Macaca mulatta: one gene and its partner. Each later gene encodes a partner of the first gene's protein in a complex. Links are inferred from orthologs where the notes say so. Each region holds a gene or a part of one and is shown in the gene's direction. Other genes may lie near its edges. The genes, in order: DLAT and PDK3.

Region 1 (11,443 bases):
TATTTTTTTTTCCACCTAGAAAAAAACTTTATTTACACAATCTTGGATTCTGAATTTCCGATACTTCCAGGGTCTCTTGATCAAATGGGGCCGCAGCAGGTAGGGAAGCAAACACAGGGGCCAGTCCAGATTATCTTACTGAAGAACACCACCAAGAAGAAGGGAAGGCCTAATTCAGTTTTGGTCTGGACTACATCTCCTCGCACTTTGAGATCACCACAGGTAGCTTGGGCTTATTGTTAGGGCCTGTGGGAACATTCTCAATCTTTCTCATCACTAGAAGTCCATCGATGAGTTTTCCAAACATTATATGCTTCCCATCCAGCCAATCGCACTTAGAGCAGGTGATAAAGAACTGACAGCCGTTTGTACTGGAACCACTGTTTGCCACGGAAAGCAGGCCTGGAGCTGAGTGTCTTAAGTTTAAAATTTTTGTCTGCAAATGGCTCCACATAATTACTGGCGACTCCAATACCATCTCCAGTAACAAAATCTCCACCCTGAGTCATGAAATCCTTTATGACCCTGTGGAAAGTGCTTCCTTTGTATCCTATTGGAACCCCATCTTTTCTGAATTCTCTAGTGTAGAACTGCGCAAAGTTCTCGGCCATCTTAGGCACAACTCTGCAAAGAGCTTGATCTTTGTGCGGCCAACTTCCTGACTGCCATTGCTGACATCAAAGAACACCATGGGGTTAGCAGGGCTTGAATTTGCCACCACCCGTGGCTCCGACCGGGAAGCAGAAGTCAGGGATCGTATTTCAGCATGAGATTTGGAGGGGACAAACATCCAAGCTGTATCATAGGTGTCAAGTGCTGTCTGTTGAATGAAAGTCCCCAATTGGTGTTCTTTTGACATGTGGTGATCTATTTTCCAAGAGTAGGTGAAGTAATCCAGTAGTATTAATAAATGAGAAAACTGATAAAAATTAAGTGTAAGATACACATAGGTAATAGCGTTGCAACAAAGTTGAAGGCAGTGAATGTAATCACTGTTGATTGTGCTAACTAAATCAGTTTCTAAGAAACTAAGTCAATTTATTAGGTATTAGGGTTATCTTCTGTATATTTGTGTGCTTTAGATGTTACAAGTGGATAAAAATCCAGCCATCCTTTTCTAAATAATTCTGACTAGCATTTCTCCTGAATCTAGTTTATTTGTAGAAATTTTTGTATAGGAATCATTTTCTTCTTTGGAAATAACGTTCTACTCCGTGGTTTGTTAGTAACAATCATTTAGGATTTTTGCCTGGTGTTCAGTTCACACATGTATTACATGCTGTTCGGCAGATTCTCTCTCATGATACAAGACTGACTTAATTTTCCTCTACTTTGTGCCTGTAGCTTTGTGTGCATGTGCTAGGGTTTTACCTTAATTATTCTTTAAGATACTGAATTGAATTCTGAATCTCTGATACTGTTCTTTAAGATCCTGTATAGAGATTATTGACTTCACTGTTGCTTTTTTTTTTTTTTTGAGCCTGTCACCCAGGCTGGAGTGCAGTGGCGCGATCTCGGCTCACTGCAAGCTCCGCCTCCCGGGTTCACGCCATTCTCCTGCCTCAGCCTCCCAAGTAGCTGGGACTACAGGCGCCCGCCACCTCGCCTAGCAAGTTTTTTTGTATTTTTTAGTAGAGACGGGGTTTCATGGTGTTAGCCAGGATGGTCTCAATCTCCTGACCTCGTGATCCGCCCGTCTCGGCCTCCCAAAGTGCTGGGATTACAGGCTTGAGCCACCGCGCCCGGCTGACTTCACTGTTTCTTAAGAAGCAGATGAAGATGGCAAATTCTGAACAAAAAAGGCACTTACAATTTTTTTTCTAAGGCTTGTCTTAATTTTTTCCCCTCTCTGGAAACATCTTCAATTGAAATTATTTTCCCCTCCGCATAAGCCTGTTGCTAATCAGATACAGAAGACAAAGAGGATAGCAAATGAATCCAAATTCAGTGGACACACAAGCCATATAAATAGTAAAGCAATTTTAAATTTAGATAGGCATTCTGGTGTTTGGATTTTATTGGGGTGGAAATGGCTATTATAAAAACAGGGCTTTTTTTCCCCCTGGTTTTTCATTTTTATTTATTTATTTTTTTGAAACAGGGTCTCAGTCCATCACCTACGCTGGAGTGCAGTGGTGCGATTTTGGCTCACTGCAACCTCTGCCTCCTGGGTGCAAGCGATTCTCCTGCCTCAGCCTCCCGAGTAGCTGGGAATACAGGCACACACCACCACGCCTGGCTGTTTTATTTTTTGAGACAGGATCTCACTCTTCACCCAGGCTGGAGCACAGTGGTGCAATCTTAGCTCACTGCAGCCTTGACCTGGGCTCAAGCCATCCTCCCACCTCAGCCTCACAAGAAGCTGTGACTACAGGCACATGCCACCGTGCCCAGCTAATTTTTTTTTTTTTTTATATAGACGAGGTTACACCATGTTGCTCAGGCTGGTCGTGGACTCCTGGGCTCAAGTGATCCTCCTGCATCAGCCTACCAAAACGCTGAGATTGTAGGCATGAGCCATCATGCCTGGTCTTTCCTGTTTTTTTTTTTTTTTTTTTTTTTTGACACAGTCTTGCTCTGTCACCATGGCTGGAGTGTCGTGGCACGATCTCGGCTCACTTCTACCTCTGCGATTCTCATGCCCCAGCCTCCTCAGTAGCTGGGACTACAGGCAGGTGTTACCACGCCCAGCTAATTTTGGTATTTTTAGTAGAGGTAGGGTTTCGCCACTTTGGCCAGGCTGATCTTGAACTCCTGGCCTCAAGTGATCTGCCCCTCCCAAGTGATTCTTGGCCTCCCAAAGTGCTGGGATTACAGATGTGAGCAACTGTGCCTGGCCTCCTCTTTTATTTTTTAAAATGATCATTGCACCACTGCACTCCAGGCTGGGCAACAGAGTAAGACTCCGTCTCAAAAAAAAAAAATTATCAAATAAAATTCTATGTAAGAATTCTATGTATATATATTATATACAACAAGTTCTGAAATATGTATATATTGTGGAATGGCTAAATTGAGCTAATTTATATATGCATTACTTTACAGACTTATCTTTTAGGACACTTAAAAATCTACAAGATTGTAGGAATTTACAAGAATACAATATATTGTTATTAGCTGTTGTCACCAAAGAACAGTTTTTTTTGTTGTTGTTTGTTTTTAATATGGAATGCTTCATGAATTTGTTTGTTGTCCTTGCACAGGAGCCATGCTAATCTTTGTATCGTTCCAAGTTTAGTGTATGTGTTGCTGAAGCGAGCACAGAACAGTTCTTAATATTACATTTTTATCTTGGAAAGATATCTGGGAAGATTGGGACAAATGCAGTTTCCTGTGGGTAAAAAATAAGTAGATGCTAAGTCCAGAGCGCAGTAAAATTTTAACAGAATGGATTGGACCAAGGTCATTTTGTGAAAATGAAAATTTTCTTGGTTAAAAAAAAAATGAAGTCTGGGTGCGGTGGCTCACGCCTATAATCCCAGCACTTGGGAAGGCCAGGGCGGGCAGATTACTTGAGGACAAGTGTTCCGAGACCAGCCTGGCCAATGTGGTAAAACCCCATCTCTACAAAAATACAAAAGTTAGTGGGCATGGTGGCACCTGCCTGTAATCCCAGCTACTTGGGAGGCTGAGGCAGGAGAATCACTTGAATCCAGGAGGTGGAGGTTGCAGTGAGCCGAGATTGTGCCGTTGCACTCCAGCCTGGGTGACAGAGTGAAACTCTGTCTCAAAATAAAAATAAATATAAAAATAAAAATAGATGAAAAGATGCTCCATACTTAGATATTGAGGAATTAATTTTGACTGTCTGAAAGAAATCTTTCCCATCTGCTTGTTGCATTTAACTTGGAGTGTGTGTCAGAGTATGGGTGAGAGTATAAGAGTATGGGTCAGAGTATGAGATTTGAAGGATGATTTACCTGGTGGGAAGCTATTGAGGTGCGAAGCTTTTGCCGTGATGAGTATTTGGATTATCATAGTCACCATCATTCTATGAAAACTATATAAACCTGCCAGACTGTTATTATGTAGAAGTCGTCCTGGTATTAAGCAATAATATGTGTATGTTTCTACAGGTACTTCTTCCTGCCCTCTCTCCCACCATGACCATGGGCACAGTTCAGAGATGGGAAAAAAAAGTGGGTGAGAAGCTAAGTGAAGGAGACTTACTGGCAGAGATAGAGACTGACAAAGCCACTATAGGTGAGATTTCTTCAGCTCTTAATGGTTGAGGCACTGAGTTTCCCAATGAGGAAGAGGATTGCCATTCTTTCCTATAATGAGTGAGTGAGATAATATGAAAACTTTTTAATTCTTAGGATTCATTTCCTGGGACAGAATATTTTATTTCTATTTAGTTATATTTATTCTTAAGTTTTTATTTATTTGTTTATTTGCTTATTTTTGAGACAGGGTCTTAATCTGTTGCCCAGGCTGGAGTGCAGTGGCAAGATCATAGTTCACTATAGCCTCGAACTCCTGGGCTTATACCCAAACGATCCTCCTCCTTTAACCTCCCGAGTAGCTAGGACTACAGGCCTGAACCACCACATCCAGTTGATTTTTAAAATTTTTTGTAGAGATGGGGTCTCACTTTGTTGCCCAGGGTGGTTTTGAACTCCTGGCTCAAGTGATCCTCCTGCCTTGGCCTCCCTAAGTGCTGGGACTCCAAGCGTGAGCCCATGTTCCTGGCTGAGAATAATTTATAACAAAAATAATATTTAGTCAGATTTGTCAGTTCCATCCTGCACTCATTGAATTAAAGGCAATAAATCTGTCAATTCACAGATTATTTTTAGGCCCAAGTTTGCTTCCTAGCCTTATTATGTTACTAAGAAGCTATATCAGAACTGCTGCTGTCTAAACTAGGCAAGGGAATGCAAGAAGAAACAGGAGAAAATCACTTCCATGGCAGGATAATAGGAAAGAATTTAAGATGACTTTGAGGGAAAACTGAAACCAGGGTTGAGATTGTTTTCGTAGTTTGAGAATGACTGATAGAATGTACATGTGTTATATATATATATATTCAGAGATGTCATATGTCCATATATCTCCTTCTTAATTCATTTTTAGACTAAAAAATAAAACCCATATAGACGGTCATATATTTATGATTTTTTTAAATGGATATTTGTAGGTATTATGAATTTTTTCTCTATGCACCTTTTTTTTTTTTTTTTTTTTTTTTTGGAGACAGAGTTTTGCTCTGTTACCCAGGCTTGGGTACAGTGATGCAATCTTGGCTCACTGCAAGCTCTGCCTCCTGGGTTCAAGCAATTCTCCTGCCTCAGCCTCCCAAGTAGCTGGGACTACAGGCATGCACGATAACACCCAGCTAATTTTTTGCATTTTTAGTAGAAATGGGGTTTCACCATGTTGGCCAGGCTAGTCTCGAGCTCTTTGACCTCGGGTGATCTGCCTGCCTCGGCCTCCCAAACTGCTGAGATTACAGGCATAAGCCACCGCACCCGGACACTCTGCTTCATAATCACCACTAAAGGAAAATCTTTCCCAAAGATGTAATGGGAGGTACTGGGCATCCTCTGTTGTGGTTGTTTTCAGATTGTGTTCTTCAAATCCCATCATTCCTTGAAGGCACCTTGGGGCAAAGGGGAAATTAAAGAGCAAGACCTTATAATGCCCTGCCTCCCTCCCTTACTTCCAGTAGAGCAGTTCTTTTTTATCTTTTTGTATTTTGTGCTTCCCCATAAATTTTATTTGAAGAAAGGATTCTGTTTCTTAAAAACACAGAAACTTTGGAAACAATAGTTCTGCTTCACCATTTAACTTGAATACCAGTGTCACTGTAGAGACTGGTCACTAGAGAAGTGTTACCTTGGTTGATCTTTGAAGTCTGTTGTGGCCCAGGATCCTTTTCATTTTAAACATTTTATTTATTTTTGAGATGGAGTCTCACTCTGTTGTCCAGGCTGGAGTGCAGTGGTGCAATCTCAGCCTATCACAACCTCTGCCTCCCGGGTTCAAGCGATTCTCCTGCCTGAGCCTCCCGAGTAGCTGGGACTACAGGTGCGTGCCACCACGCCTGGCTAATTTTTGTATTTTTAGTAGAAATGGGGTTTCACTATGTTGGCCAGGCTGGTCTTGAACTTCTGACCTCGTGATATGCCTGCCTTGGCCTCCCAAAGTCCTGGGATTACAGACGTGAGCCACCACTGCTGCCAGCCTTTTTTTTTTTTTTTTTCTTGAGACAATCTTGCTCTGTCGCCTGGGATGCAGGATGGAGTGCAATGGCATGATCTTGGCTCACTGCATTCTCTGCCTCCCGGGTTCAAGCAATTCTCCTGCCTCAGCTGCCCAAGTAGCTGGGATTACAGGCACCTGCCATCATGCCTGGCTAATTTTTTGTATTTTTAGCAGAGATGGGGTTTCACCATGTTGGCCAGCCTGGTCTTGAACTCCGACCTCAGATGATCCACCCACCTCGGCCTCCTAAAGTGCTGGGATAATAGGCGCGAGCCACCGTGCTCAGCCTTAAATATATATATGTATATATTTTCCTTTTTTTTGAGACGGAGTTTCACTCTTGTTGCCCAGGCTGCAGTGCAATGGCACGATCTCGGCTCACTGCAACCTCCACCTCCTGGGTTCAAGTGATTTTCTGGCCTCAGCCTCCCGAGCAGCTGGGATTACAGGCATGCGCCACCACGCCTGGCTAATTTTATATTTTTAATAGAGATAGGGTTTCTCCACATTGGTCAGGCTAGTCTTGAACTCCCAGCCTCAGGTGACCCACCCACCTTGACCTCCCAAAGTGCTGGGATTACAGGCGTGAGCCACCGCGCCTGGCCTAAAACATATTTTTTATTGGGTATTCTCAGTTGGGAAGTGGAAGGATTCATCAAAGAGAGGCACAACAGTACAGAAAGCCAATGGCTTCTTTTAGTTTTACTTTTGCAATCCTAAATGTTTGAGTTCTTTGCAAGGAAGGCAGTAGTTGAATAAAATGTAAGTTGTCAACACCATAGAAATCCTAGTAAAGCTATAATTCTTCACATTGAAATATTTGGTATAATATCAAGTATAACCTCTTAGAAAAGTTCCAAAGATGCTTTTAGGGCTGAAATCCAACATTAATATCTAGGTTGGTAGCTCCCTTAATTTGGCACGTATGTGGTTCTTATCTTTAGCAGCATAGCTGACTTCCAACTCCATCTTAGAGTCTTGTGAGTCTGCATGGGGGCTATCCTTGGAGATTTTTTAATAACTTTTAGAACTAACCACTATCTGTAATCTTTCATAGTTTTATTGAACACATATTTATTTATCATTTACTTTGGACCAGGTGCTATTTTGTACCAGGTCATATTATTTCTAAGAACTTGAAAAATATTAAATCCGTTTAAATGTATAAACATCCCTGTGAGATTGGCACTATTATTATCCCCATATTATAGGTAAAGAAACCAAGACACAGAAGGTTAAATAGGTTGCAAAAAAGGTTATATAGCTAGCTTGAATGAGAAAAATCATTTTACTTAAAACTGTGCTGTGAGTTTGGAGGGATAGTGGAGTCTCTGAAGTCCCATAATGTTTTTTCTTTCTATTTAAGGTTTTGAAGTACAGGAAGAAGGTTATCTGGCAAAAATCCTGGTCCCTGAAGGCACAAGAGATGTCCCTCTAGGAACCCCACTCTGTATCATTGTAGAAAAAGAGGCAGATATATCAGCATTTGCTGACTATAGGCCAACTGAAGTAACAGATTTAAAACCACAAGCACCACCACCTACCCCACCCCCGGTAGGTATGCTTCTAGAATTCAGGAAACACTTAACCTTGTTTCTCTCTAAATTAAGGAGTTTTGATTAGATGATATCCTAGGTTCCTTCCACCTCCAAGATTCTATGACTAAGGAGGGAGATAGTTGATTAACCTTTGTGGAGACCTATAGTGTTTGTTGTACTGCATTGTTCACCTAATGGTCGATAGTTTGGGCCTTGTAGCTTTTTTTTTTTCTGCCATCCAGAGTCCTGCTGAAAACAAAGCTGAGTGATATGCTGTCTTTCTGCTTTAGATGTAGATATCATGCTTGTGGAAAGTAAGGCTTCATTGCCCCAGCCCTTTTTTTTTTTTTTAAAAGAGACAAGGTCTCACCCTGTCGCCAAGGCTGGAGTGCAGCGGTGCAGTCATAGCTCACTTCATTGCGCGTTTTTTATTAAATATACTGAATAATCTCTGTCACTTGAAATCCTCTTGTTATTCACGTAGTAGGTCAAGCATATATTTCTGATACAGTGGAACCTTGACATGACTTCTTTTGCATAGAATTTATTATATCACAAAATACTTTATAATAAACTATAACATGAACTTGCATTAACTCCAACCAGAGATAACACTGACAGTGAAGCTTCTGCAGATGCTAGAATCGTGAGTTTAAGCTAGGTAAACATTTCTATAAGACAAAAGTTGATTTGTGACTACTGTACATTTGTGGGAAGCTGGCAAGTAGCATTGTTGTTGTATTTCTTTTTTTTGGTTTTGTTTTTTAATTGTTGTTGTTGAGACGGATTCTCACTCCATCGCCTAGGCTGGCTTGCAGTGGCGCGATCTTGGCTCACTGCAGCCTATACCTCCCGGGTTCAAGCCATTCTCCTGCTTCAGCCTCCTGAGTAGCTGGGATTACAGGCGCCAGCCACCATGCCTGGCTAATGTTTTTATTTTTAGTAGAGAAGGGGTTTCACCATGTTGGCCAGGCTGATCATGAACTTCTGACCTCAGGTGATCTGCCCACCTCAACCTCCCAAAGTGCTGGGATTACAGGTATAAGCCACCGTACCTGGCTATATTTTTTAAGATACTTTTCAACATGGGGCCTTACAGCATAATTTTTGTATTTTGAAATTAGCTGGCTGGGTGTGGTGGCTCATGCTGGTAATCCCAGCACTTTGGGAGGCCGAGACGAATGGATCGCTTGAGGTCAGGAGTTTGAGACCAGCCTGGCCAACATGGTGAAACCCCATCTCTACTGAAAATACAAAAAATTAGCTGGTCATGGTGGTGCATGTCTGTAATCCCAGCTACTTGGGAGGCTGAGGCAGGAGAATTGCTTGAACCCAGGAGGCGGAGGTTGCAGTGAGCTGAGATTGCGCCACTGCACTCCAGCCTGGGTGACAGAGCAAGACTCTGTCTCAAAAAAATAAAAGAAAGAAAGATGTTAGGATAATTAAAAATAAAAATTATGTTGGTGATGTAAAAGAATGCAAATAAAGAAGTGGTAAGAGATTAAAGTGAAGAAAGGCCATAGGATACTATACACTGATTGGCAATATTCAGTTCTGTGCTTCTTCATGTTGTTATGGAATAAAGTAACTTTGTTCTGTCTTTGACATAGATGTATATTGTTCTTGCTGTTCGTATTACTACATTATGTTGGTTAAACTGGAGAAAAGTACATTATGATCTTTGGAAAAAAGATGAAAGTTATTAATATTTAATTAAAATAGTTTTAATTTATTAATAAGATGTAAACTTTTAATCTTTCAGACCAATCTTTGAAGTGGTGAATTAAAACAATTTGTAATTTTTTTTCAAAAGGTGGCCACTGTTCCTCCAACTCCTCAGCCTTTAGCTCCTACACCTTCAGCACCCTGCCCTGCTACTCCTGCTGGACCAAAGGGAAGGGTGTTTGTTAGCCCTCTTGCAAAGAAGTTGGCAGTAGAGAAAGGGATTGATCTTACACAAGTAAAAGGTAAATCTGTTTCTATGGAATAGAGTTATAAAGTTAAATTTAGTTGAATTTCCTCCTTAAGACTTGCAAGTATAACTATATATAGCCATACTTATAACTGGGATAGTAGGGACAACTGTTAATAATCACATCAGAAGGGAGAAATAGTTCTTTTGTTGCCACCACAGAGTAGGGAAACTTTTACTGAGCTTTATTTACTCTGCCTAGAATCTACCCATATACTTTAGATACCTTTTTTTTCCCTCTTCTCTTCATGGAAACTACTTGTTTGAAAGTATATGTACTTGTTCAGCAAAATTGGGTTATGGGACTTGATTGTGTAATAAGAAACCTCTGTTAGTGCTAGGTTGACTGTAGTAATAAGCAAAGCAAAATAAAATTTGAAATTGGGGTGATTTGGAATGACTTAAAATGATAAACTTCATATAAAACAGAACTAGAGCTCCCTGAAGGCAAGGGGAAATGCCTTACTTGTCTGTCTGTCCCCAAAGAAAAAATATAGCTTTGTGATAAGAACATGGGGCCTGGAATCAGACCACCTAGCGTTTCATCCTGGCTTTATAATTTTCTATGTAATCTGTTTTCCAGTGAATTACTTAAATTGTATGTCCTTATGTCAATTACTTTTCTAGCCATAAAACCGAGGTATTGTACATCATATAGATTGTGAGAGTTAAATGAGCTATAACAGGTGAAGTGCCTAGAACTGTTATCTAGCATATAAGTACTCAATACATGTTTGTTGTCATTCATATTGATATTATTGCCTGGCGCTTAAGTAAGTTTTTTTGAGTTAAACCTAAGCTAAAATTTAGTGTAGGATAACTAAGGTACTTATTTGGAAAAGGAGGGAAGTTATTATTCTTGGAACTTGGTTTGATGGCTAGTACTATGTGCCAGTCATTTAACTTATCATACTTAATGTACACAACACTTCTTGAAGTAAGAATTATCATTCCCTATTTTCTGGATAAGAAAACAGACTCTCAGACTCTTCAGGGTTCTTTTTTCCTGTTAAATAGTAAAGTTGCAGTGTGACTCTAGATTTGTTTAACTCTAAAGCCTGTTTCTTCACACTACCCTATCCTGCCTTCCATTCTGATGCTCTGCCATCTGTAATTACTAAAGAAAAATATGCTTATTTCCCCAGTTGTCTAGTTATGGGTGCTCAGTGGTGGTTATCCCCTATCTGCAATTTGCTGTCTTGTAGTTAGAAGGCAAGCCAATCCCAAGACACAAGAGTAGAATGTTGTAAAGTTTTTGGACTTTAGAGATTCTTATAATATTGGAAGACTCTTTTTTTTTTCCATCTTAGTACCATTTCGGTAGTATATTCCTATTCTTTATATATGATTAGAATCAGGGACAGCAGTGTAAGTTGGAATAACTTTTAAAGGGAGAAAGGACTGGGTTAATAATTATATCTAAAGAATTTAGACAAGCAAAGAAGGACCATTTATTAGATATTAAGCAATACTGGTTACCTTACTAAAGATATAAGTGGAAAATCCCTTAGGCATGAGCTGAGGAGGAGTGTTAAGAAAAAAAAGAAGGAAAGAAAATCCCACTATTCTTACTATGCAGGCAGAGTTAGGTGGTAAATACCATCGAATACTATCTACGCATCAGACACTCGTTCATCAGATGGATAAGATTTCAGTTTCAGTTGCTTATATGACTAACAGTAAAGAATTAAATGAACAGAAAGGGAGTATAGCATAGTGGTTAAAA
Region 2 (11,443 bases), on another chromosome or scaffold:
AAACATCTATTAAGCATCTACTACTTAACAGCCAGCCTCGAGACCCAGAACTAGGAAAGAGTCATGGACAAAAACATCTGACATGGTTTTAAAAGGAAGGAAAGAAATCTAAACTATAATGTTCCCAAAGAAAAGTGCAAGTAATTGAGCAAGCCTTTAGATGGCTCCTAGAGAATGTTGTTTAAACTGAAAAAACAAAACAAAACAAAACAAAACAAAACCCCACTATATAAAAGGCATTTGCCTTTTCTTGAGATTTGGGGTGAAAATGTTGAATTCATAAGGCTGTTTATGTAACTAATGATGCCATTTGGTACAAGATAAACTGAGTACCCAGCTTGTTCCTCGAGCCCCATTAGAATGACAATAAAGGAGCCAGGCGCAATGGCTCACACCTGCAATCCCAGCACTTTGGGAGGCCGAGGTGGGCGAACACCTGAGGTCAGGAGTTCGAGACCAGCCTGTCCAACATGGGGAAACCCCGTCTCTACTAAAAATACAAAAATTAGCCAGGAGTGGCAGCGCACACCTGTAATCCCAGCCACTCAGGAGGCTGAGACAGGATAATCGCTTGAACCCGGGAGGTGGAGGTTGCAGTGAGCCGAGATGGCGCCACTGCACTCCAGCCTGGGCAACAGAGCAAGACTGTGTCTCAAAAAATAAATAAATAAAAATAAAAATAATTGCTCTTTGAAGAGTTCAGGATTAGAATCAAAAGCTCTCGGTTCAGGTGTCCAGTTTCGGTGCCACTTCTGGGACCATGGGCAAGTCACACAGGCTTCCCAAAGCCTGTTTCCACGCCGCTAAACACCACCACCCTGCTAGGAGCCAGGAAATGTTGTCAGGAGGAGTCAATTGAATAATGTATGTGAAAGCTCTTTGTAGACTGCTAAGAATCAAGCAAATGTGAACTCTAATTTATATTATTGTTAATTACTTTATTAGAGGAAGTAGCTGGTTGAAATGACAGCATTCTACCTGAGAGAGTTCATGTAGTTTCAATCTCTTAAGTGATTTTGGGTCATGAGGAGGAGGAAGGACTATATTTTTGAGCATCTACTCTGTATCCCACACTCTTCTTAGTGCTTGACCCGGGTTTTGGTGTTTCTCAGATTTTCTTCAGACGATCCATGGTGCAAGGGGAAAAAATCGTAGGTCTCTAGGGGTTTATCTGCTAGCTGCTTGAGAAAAAGTTACGTGAACCTTACATTCTATGCTATAAGATGTCTTGTTTGTCATAATTTAACAAAATTGAACACTGCCATTTAGTCCAGTTCACCAGCCCTTTGTTTATTTTCCCTGTTGCTCCACATTCCCCATGGAATTCCCCCTGGGGTCAGTGGCAGAAGGTAGCCCCCAATTTGAAAAACACCCAGTGATATCTGTCTGGCCTTCTGTAATACTCAGGATATTATGGCCTAGGTGATAATATTCCAATTCTGCTCAACAAAGTTTCAAAGAGATTGAGTGATTTATCCAAGGTCACATAGCTGGTAAGTGAAGGAACGGGGTTTCACCCCAGGTTTGTTTGATTCCAAAGCATATGCTTTTGCTCAGCCCTGCCTTTAGAGGTGGAAACCCAAGTTAGCCTTTTATAGAGCTGTGTTTTACACACTTGGAAAATAGAGTGCAAACATCATTCTTGAGTTTCTCCTAGTTTGGGTCCTTATTGATTGATGGTTTTGTCTCTGTTTTCAGCCAAAGCGCCAGACAAACCTATTCAGGTGGTTTATGTGCCCTCACATCTGTTTCATATGCTATTTGAGTTGTTCAAGGTAAGTGGAATTTTAAAAACATGGAAAGAAGTCTTCATTTTAAATTACTTTGATTCAGAGCATAATGGATTCATTAGATTAGCATAAGAAAAAGGTTTTGCATAACCATTTTAAAAATTCTATTTCTGATATCCTGTGGGTTTTATAATTTGTACACTGTGAGATGAAAAATTGCTGTGTACAGTATAGTTTTTGTGAATATTAGTACATATCGATTTTGAAGCTTAATTGCACTTTAGTGATTTTATGTAAAATCCATACTGTTTTTTTCTTTGGTTATGAGATTAGAGATGCTTTTTAGTTTCCAAACCTGGCAAAGGCTTTATTGGTGGTAGCCAGATCAAAATAAAAACATGTTTATACATATTTATGCTTCTGAAAATTAACCACACTGGTACATTAGTGGTTGTTCCAATCCTGAGAGATCCTGCAACCCTTTTATAAAATATTTGAATCAATTCAGAAGATCCAAGAGAGGCAGAGAAAGATGTAGATGAGCTGGACCAAAAGAACCAGCCCCCACCACCCCACCAAATTCTTTAGACTCTGCAACTTAAGCTGTTGCTTTTGTTAATCAGTAGCTAATGACATTTACAGTAGCAGTATTACAGGCACAAGGCATTTGAGCTAAAATTTCATTTCTTCCAATGCGTGAAACACTAAATTTGAACACCTGAAAAATCAGTTATGCTGATTTGCTTCCAAAAATTAGAGTGTTACTGATGTAATGCTTTAAGGTTGAAATGGGCATTCAATTGTGAACTTTCTCTTCAGCAGCTGTGGCTTTTTCAGAATTTCTTTTTAACCAATATTTCTTCTACTTTTTTCAGCCAAATGATTAATTTTTGTGGGAAGCATGCATCCTTTCAGTTTTTCTGCCTCCTTTAGAGAAAAGGTGCTCTATAAATGCAGACTGATAAATAGGATTTAAAGTACACAAATGAGCCTCTGCATAGCCTCATTACATGCGATAAAAACATTCCTCTGGATTGAGTTGAATAATTTAAATACCGTAAAGCAAAAAAAAAAAAAAAAAAAAAAAAAAAAAAAAAAAAAAAAGAAGAAGAAGGAGAGAAAAATAAATATTTAGCATGTTGGATGAGGCTAAAACTAGGTGAAAAACAAAGTGTCAGGAAATTTTTCCTTGATTTGAGCACATTTAGCTAAGCTCTTTAGAGGGAAAAGTGCCATAAAAATCCAACTAATATTTGCCCCAAAAAAGGGTTGTTGGGTATAAGTCATGCACTTCTTTCTCTTTAAAAATTGTGGTTTGTGATTCGGCAGTATGATTAACAAAAAGATCTTATTATTTTAGAACTCAATGAGAGCGACAGTCGAACTCTATGAAGACAGAAAAGAGGGCTACCCCGCTGTTAAAACCCTCGTTACTTTGGGTAAAGAAGACTTATCCATTAAGGTAACTGTTTTATGCGCATGTATACTTTAATTATCAGTTGTGATTTAATAGTATCTAGACATTGAAAAATCAGAGGGAAGAAAATTGACATTTATTGAGTGTCCTATTTGTAAGTTCTATGCTAGATCCTTGGCTTAAGTTACCTTATTTAAACTTCATTAGAACCTTGTTATTCATGGAGTTGAACAAGACCTCAACACCAAGCCTGTTGGATCCTACTGTACCATTCGGCCACCTTTGCTTTACACTGTTCACAAAGGAACCATATGTCACTGGGGATTCAAAGTCCTTGTACATTTTGGAGTAATCTGCTATGTACTTTATTTAATGAACCCATTGCCTCCTACTAAGTATAGATCAACTTCTTTGTTTTGATTGTTAACATTTTGTACATTGCAGATCAGTGACCTAGGCGGTGGTGTTCCACTTCGAAAAATAGATCGTCTTTTTAACTACATGTATTCGACTGCTCCTAGACCCAGCCTGGAGCCTACCAGAGCTGCCCCTTTGGTAAGCATCTCAAACTGCTGCTGAAGGAAAGATCATAAACACGGGAAGGGGCTCAGAGGGAGCTGCCTCTCTCCCCAGGTTGTCACATTAGTGTAGTTGATTTAGAATGTTGCAGTTTGGAGGAGGGGGAATTTTTTGCCTTGGCTACTTTCTTTGTACTTCTATTTCCTCTCTGATTTATCTCTAAGAAACACTCCGAGCTGAGTGCCTCACTCCCAAATACAGAGAAAAAGTACCTCATCGTGGTAAGACTGCTACTGGAGCACCATTTTCCACTTTGTGCTACCCTTGGCAGGGGTAGAAGTTACCAGTGGGTGAGCAAAGGGACAGTACTGAATGCATAGCTGCCGCTTGGTCCTGCACACTCTGGCGTGCATACCACAGAGGCGCGAATCACCTAGTGCCTTGGAATCTCCACTGTCAAATTTGTTTATATAATTAAAATGTTAAATTATGGAAACATTAAATTTTTATATTAAATAACATTAGCATGAAACATATAGGTGGTGTATGCGTTTTCAGAGCCCTTTCTGTCTCACTCTGGAAATAACCTTCAGCCCTATTAAGGCAGTGAGAAAAGCCTCTGGTTACCATGGTAGCATTTAGATCCTGGTAGGGCCACACTTGCTTCCCCTGCTGAGTGTTTCTAATTGACAAACAACAATTGAACCCTTTGTCATTAAACACAGCAACATATCTATCAGTCTGCAAAATGGTTCAGGGTATAAATTAAGTTTCATTTTAAAGTCCTACCTGACTGATAAGCACATAAGATTATATTTTATTTGTATTAATAAAATCAAACACTTTGCATCCTTTATTTGAGACAGAGTTTGTTAACTCAGCATGTTGGAAACAGGAAATCATTTATATAGGATTTGAGAAAATTCATGAAAGATCACGTTTGAGAGGCATTGCCTTGACTAGGCTCTGGCATGCACTTAAATACACATCAAAAGGAAAAAAGGCAGCACAAACAAATGTAGCACCTTCCCCAGTTGTTTAAAAGAAATATAGATTGTCTCTTCCAGGTCTTAAAATAGCATCTTGAGGAACTGGGGACTTGTAAGAGACCTTTAAAAATTACGCACGCACACTCCCATTGTAGAGATGAGGAAATGAGGAAATGACCTTGCCCAAAGTCATTGAACTAATTAACTGCAGAGCTGGTGCTGGCCATGTCTGTGTTCTTTCCAGTGTACTATGTGGCCTTTCCTTTTGAAGAAATGCTTCCACTAGTGGCTCTCCCAGTTAAGAAACTGGCCTGTAATCCTAGCACTTTGGGAGGCCAAGGCGGGTGGATCACTTGAGGTCAGGAGTTCGAGACCAGCCTGGCCAACATGGTGAAACCCGGTCTCTACTAAAAATACATGAAAATAGTCAGGAGCAGTGGCGCACGCTTGTAATCCCGGCTACTCAGGAGGCTGAGGCACAAGAATTGCTTGAACCTGGGAGGTGGAGGTTGCAGTGAGCCAAGATTATGCCACTACACTCCAGCCTGGACGACAGAGCGAGACTCTGCCTCAAAAAAAAAAAAAAAAAAAGAAAAAGAAAAAGAAACTCTCCTCAGCTTTAAAGTGGGCACATGGATATGTACTACTAGAAAACATAATTTCCTCATTGAGCAACTTGCATTTTTACACCTCTGTGCCTTTACACGTGCATTTCTGTTGTGAGAATATCCACCCAGCGAACTCCTGCTGATGCTTTGACCGTCTGGGAAACCTTTCCTGAACCTCAGCCAATCCGAGGTCCAGACCCCTCCTCTGCACTCTGGGAGTCTGGGCTTACACTCACATCTGCATTGGCCTCGGAGCTCTCGCCTGTTCTGTGTTGGACCTGAGGGCAGGCTCTGGGCCTTGCTTGAGCATAGAAGGCAGATTTCCTCACATCTCTTCCTAGAGTGAGCTAGTTTCTTTGCTCTGGTTACCTGAGTCACTACTATAGATATCTCATCTTCACTACTGGCCATATTCAGCAAGTCCTAAAGCCCTCAAATAATGGAGTATGTTCTTTTACCCTCTGCCCTTTCAGTTAGACGCTACCCTGAGAGGAGGTATCAAGGAGAGATGTTAGAAAAGGGCAGAAATCCATGTAACTTCATAAAATTGCTGCTCCCAGTAGCTAGAGTACCAGCTTTGATTTATTTAGTTTTACTGTGGTAAGCACTGTGCCAAGATTTGATACTTGTTATATTATTTAATCCTTATAGCAGCTCTGAGGTCAGTTTTTTTTAAAATCATATATTCAGATGAAAAATCGGTCTCAAAGAGGTTGAGCAAACTGCTCAGAGTCACACAGAAAGTGGATTTCAACTTGGGTCTATCTGAGTCTAAGGCCCATGTGACTCTATGCACATGGTCCCCTGCCCTCCTTCCTTAACCTTGTTCATAGATTTAACCAGAAGTGAGGAAGCTTGGTGTTAAAATATCTCCTTCCACACCCTGCCCCACTGCCACTGCAAACGGTATTACATTTAGTTTCGATTCGTATTGTTCTTGTCCATACCTGAGACCTTTTTTTTTCTCCCTGAACACCTGTTATTGACAGTCAGAGTTCCATGACATAGAGATATAGGAAGGTACTGAAAATTTTTTTTAATCTCTAAAAATATCTGAACTATAATATACCAAAATATTCTCACATTCCCGGAACCTTAGAAGTTGCCTCTCAGAAAATTGTTTTCCTTTCCGTGTTCTCATCTTGTTACTGGTAGATTTGCACTCAGCACTGCGCTATTGATTTTCACTTCTAAGAGCAGGGAAATCTGATCATGGGACGTTGAAATGATGTGGTTTAGTTCTGTCATCAGGTCACATTCCTCTTGATTTGGAATGTGCTTTTTTTTTTTTTTTTCTTTTGTGGAGATGGAGTCTCGCTCTGTCACCCAGGCTGGAGTGCAGTGGCACCATCTCAGCTCACTGCAACCTCCACCTCCCAGGTTCAAGCGATTCTCCTGCCTCAGCCTCCTGAGTAGCTGGGACTACAGTCTCCCACCACCTCGCCCAGCTAATTTTTGTAGTAGAGACGGGGTTTCGCCATGTTGGCCAGGCTGGTCACGAATTCCTGACCTCAAGTGATCTACCTGCCTCAGCCTCCCAAAGTGCTGGGATTACAGGTGTGAGCCACCGTGCCCAGCCTTGGAATGTGCTTTTTAAAAATGATAAAACTTTGCTTTTAAATGCTAAAAAAGTATTAGTCAAAAAATAGAATATTTTTATTATTATCCAAACATGTAAGACATGTTTTTGCAGGGTGAAAATAAAGAGGTTGTTTGCCATAGAAGAGGATATACATCATTGTAAAGGTTGAGTCAGTAATTTCTTTGATTTACATCTGAATCAAGAATTTATTTTAACCTTCTCTGAATGGTCATCATATAAAATGTGTTAGCATTTGTGCCTGTCTCACTGTATTAATTTTCTTTTCTCAATAGGCTGGATTTGGTTATGGTTTGCCAATTTCCCGTCTGTATGCTAGATATTTTCAAGGAGATCTGAAACTGTATTCCATGGAAGGAGTGGGTACTGATGCTGTCATTTATTTGAAGGTACTGCATTTTATTTGTTAGTATGAGGCATCTTTGCTTTTTAAAGCTTTAAGTTCTAATCGCTGATTGAGAATAGCGATCGTCTCTTAGATTCATCTCAGATTTACTTCACTTACCCATGAAAACCATGTTATGCCTCACCCTTGATTCTATGCTCAGGTATAGCAAAATATGAAACGTGGAGGTATAGAAATTAAAATACTGATTTTGGCCAGGCACGGTGGCACAGGCCTGTAATCCCAGCACTTTGGGAGGCTGAGGTGGGCGGATCACCTGAGGTCAGTAGTTCGAGACCAGCCTGGCCAACATGGTGAAACCCCATGTCTACTAAAAATACAAAAAATTAGCTGGTGTGGTGGTGCACGCCTCTAGTCCCAGCTTCTCAGGAGGCTGAGGCAGGAGAGTCACTTGAACCCGCGAGGCAGAGGTTGCAGTGAGCTAAGATGGTGCCGCTGTACTCTAGCCTGGGCGATAGAATGAGACTCCGTCTCAAAAGAGAAAAAAAAAATTAAAATGCTGATTTTTAAAACCGTAATTTTAAATTGTGACTTAAAAAACTGCATGGCTGTTGAAAGATCTGATCTAAAAGGAGGTCGATTTTCATAAACTGAAGTATTTTGGTCTTTGGTTTTAAAAACTCACTGGCTTTCCCAAAGTTACAAGAATTCAGTAATCATAATATAGTTAGATAAAAGGTTCATTTCATAACAAACTTCTCTGTAACACTCTTTCTTATTCATTGGTGGTAATTGGACTTTTATTTCTAAACTCTAGAATATTTGTAACGTTTTTTTGAATAGGTAATATAGACACATAATAAAAATTTAAAAGCCGCAAAAGGAAAAATTAGTCTCTCCTCCCACTGGCCCTAAACCACCAGTTCTCTTCAGCGGAGATCACCACAGGTCTTAGCGTCTTACGGTTCCTCCTAGAGTTGATTCTACATTTATAAATATGGGGAAAATAGAATTTTTCCCACATAAATGAAATTTCAGCACCTTCTTATTTTTTTTACTTTCCAATCTGTCTTGGAGATCTTTCCAGAACAGTTTATGTAGAACTGGCTCATTCTTTTAAACAGTGGCATAACATGCTACTGTGGATCAAGCATCCCTAACCCAAGAATCTGCCATCTAAAATGCTTGAAAATCTGGAACTTTTTGAGCGCCAATGTGATGCTTGCTCAAAGGTCAAGCTTAAAGGAAATGCTTATTGGAGCACTCCAGATTTCAGATTTTCAGATTAGGGATGCTTAACAGGTAAACACAATGCAAATATTCCAAAATCGGAAAAAATCAGAACTACTTCTGGTCCCAAGCATTTCTTTGTTTCTTTCCTTCCTTCTTTTCTTTTCTTTTCTTTTCTTCTCTTTTCTCTCTTCTCTCTTTTCTTTTCTCTCTCTTCTCTTCTCTTCTCTTCTCTTCTCTTCTCTTCTCTTCTCTTCTCTTCTCTTCGACGGACCCTCGCTCTGTCACCCAGGCTGGAGTGCAGTACCGCCATCTCGGCTCACTGCAACCTCCGCCTCCTGGGTTCAAGCTATGCTCCTGCCTCAGCCTCCTGAGTAGCTGGGATTGCAGGTGCGTGCCACCACACCTGGCTAATTTTTTTGTATTTTTAGTAGAGACAGGGTTTCACCATGTTGGCCAGGCTGGTTTCTAACTCCTGACCTCAGGTGATCCACCTGCCTCAGCCTCCCAAAGTGCTGGGATTACAGGTGTGAGCCACTGTGTCCGGCCTGTTCCCAGGCATTTCAAAGGGATACTCAACCTGTGTATGTGACACCAGAATTTAACCAGTTATTGGGAGTATTTATCTTAGATGCCCATGCCTCTAAGTAATGTGATATTTAATAGCACTTGATGGTGTGTGTTTATAAACCTGGGATGCATGAGACTATTTCTTCCTGGGCCCTTTGTGAGACCAATCACCACGTATAGTAAAAACAGTTGAGCATCTCAAAGCAGTATGAGCTGAATTAAAATATGTTTTGTTCTGGTCATGTGTATTTCAGTTCTGATTTTGAATGAGCAAATGTTTTCATTCCCTTAAAAAAGCTTTGATATTTTCCTGGCCAGTCTAAGTAAACTACTAAGGTGTATTTTTAATATCATTTTGAAAATATGTATTAAGGTTTCTGATGTTTTACATAATAAAATTTGGGTTACTATTTCACTTGAGAAAATGACACTGTGGACCTTTGATGTATATTTTTGTTTCTCCAATAGGCTCTTTCAAGTGAGTCATTTGAGAGACTTCCAGTTTTTAATAAGTCCGCATGGCGCCATTACAAGACCACGCCTGAAGCCGACGATTGGAGCAATCCCAGCAGTGAACCCAGGGATGCTTCAAAATACAAAGCGAAACAGTAATATACCACTTTGATTTCCATTACAAAGTATCTGATTTGTCTGAGTAAAGGTGTCCCACTCACTGTTCTAGGAATTCTTACACTGTAGAGGTATTCACAACAGTGAGCAGGGATTTGACCTGCCATGAATTTTATTTAAAAAGCAATTAAATTTGCAGTTTGTCATCATAAACGTTAGAGGTTGAAAATGAAAAATAAGTTAAAATGATCAGTCAACATAAAAGGTGATCAGTTCATGCGATGGAATAATATTTGGCCTTAAAAAGGAAGGACATTCTGATATGTGCTACAACATGGGTGAATCTTGAAGTCATTATGCTAAGTGAAATAAGCCAGACATAAAAGGACAAATACTATGATTCTACTTATGTGGGGTACCTAGAGTAGTCAAATGCAGAGACACAAAGTTGAAGGGAGGTTGCCAGGTGCTAGCGAGGAAGAGGGAATGGGGAGTCATTGTTTCATGGGTACAGAGTTTCAGGTGGAAAGATGAAAAACTTCTGGAGATGGATGGTGGTGATGCTTGCACAACAGCGTGAATGTACTCAATGCCACTGAACTGTACGTGTAGCAATGGTTAAGATGGTAAGTTCTGGGCTGGGTGTGGTGGCTCACGCCTGTAATCCCAACACTTTGGGAGGCTGAGGCTGGATGATCTCTTGAAGCCAGGAGTTCGAGACCAGTCTAGGCAACATAGTGAGACCCCGTCTCAGCAAAAAATTTAAAAAGGTAAAATTAGCCAGGTGTGGTGTGTGTCTGTAGTCCTAGCTACTCAGGAGGCTGAGGCGGGAGGATCACTTGAGCCCAGGACTTCCAGGCTGTAGTGAGCTATGATTTGCACCACTGCACACCTGCCTGGGGGACAGAAAAGACCGTGTCTCAAACAAGAAAAAGATGGTAAGTTCTATGTTATGTGTAGCTTATCACAATAAAAAATTTAAACATTATAAAGGAAAAGTTATCAATCACAGAAGAAGTTTCACTGTTTTATGGTAATAAGGAAAATAATCTGTAGTTTTCTTCTGACTACCTACCCTTAAGCTTCAACTCTACTAGCAACAGTAGGGTTCTGCTTCATTTAACTTAAAATAATCCTGTATTAACAAAAAAGCAGTATATGTGCATTATAAAAAAATAAGAAAACGTTGTCTGGGCGCAGTGGCTCATGCCAGTAATCCCAGCACTTTGAGAGGCTGAGGTGGATGGATCACTTGAAGTCAGGAGTTCAAGACCAGCCTGGCCAATATGGGGAAACTTGGTCTCTACTAAAAATACAAAAATTAGCTGGGTGTGGTGGCACGTGCCTGTAATTCCAACGACTTGGGAGGCTGAAGCAGGAGAATTGCTTGAACCCAGGAGACGGAGGTTGCAGTGAGCCAAGATAGTACCACTGCACTCCAGCCTGGGTAATAGAGCTAGACTCCATCTCAAAAAAAAAGAAAGAAAAGAAAAAATAGAAGACATAAGTAAGCCAAAAAAGAAAGGAGAGACCTCTGTGTTCCCAAAACCCAGACATTGCCACTGCTATAGCTTCTGTATGTTCTTCCAGACATTTTGCCATTTGTGTATATATGTATTTTTTTGCAAATGACATTACACTATTCATACTGTTTTACAACCTGCTTTTGTTTCATTTAACCATCCCATCTTTCCATGTCAATAATCATTCACCTGATTTGTCTAAACCGAGATCTCTATTCCAGGACCACATAACACATCTGGGTAGTCTCAAGTTGTTGTTATTGTCTTTTAATTTAAAAAAGTTTTGTGGGTACATAGTAGGTGTATATATTTCTGGGGTACGTGAGATGTTGTGATACAGG

Evidence for each region.
Region 2: the proteins of DLAT (region 1) and PDK3 are in contact, whole or in part, in a crystal structure (PDB 1Y8N), measured with the Homo sapiens proteins. The link is inferred for Macaca mulatta from reciprocal best matches to the Homo sapiens genes DLAT and PDK3. Residues at the interface, in NP_001922.2 of Homo sapiens: Ala225, Leu226, Ser227, Pro228, Thr229, Glu248, Gly249, Lys259, Ala260, Ile262, Glu265; in NP_005382.1 of Homo sapiens: Arg21, Phe22, Ser23, Pro24, Ser25, Pro26, Leu27, Phe48, Lys51, Val55, Asn373, Lys374, Ser375, Arg378.

The regions. Positions count from the first base shown.
Region 1 is NC_133419.1:112,782,444-112,793,886, forward strand, and holds part of DLAT (dihydrolipoyllysine-residue acetyltransferase component of pyruvate dehydrogenase complex, mitochondrial), read left to right. Parts: intron 1-59; exon of another isoform or gene 60-859; intron 860-3,158; exon of another isoform or gene 3,159-3,262; intron 3,263-4,076; coding exon 4,077-4,203; intron 4,204-7,573; coding exon 7,574-7,761; intron 7,762-9,558; coding exon 9,559-9,712; intron 9,713-11,443.
Region 2 is NC_133426.1:24,340,911-24,352,353, forward strand, and holds part of PDK3 (pyruvate dehydrogenase kinase, isozyme 3), read left to right. Parts: intron 1-1,698; coding exon 1,699-1,775; intron 1,776-3,090; coding exon 3,091-3,192; intron 3,193-3,591; coding exon 3,592-3,702; intron 3,703-7,138; coding exon 7,139-7,252; intron 7,253-9,477; coding exon 9,478-9,617; intron 9,618-11,443. UniProt on the Homo sapiens protein: Inhibits pyruvate dehydrogenase activity by phosphorylation of the E1 subunit PDHA1, and thereby regulates glucose metabolism and aerobic respiration. Can also phosphorylate PDHA2.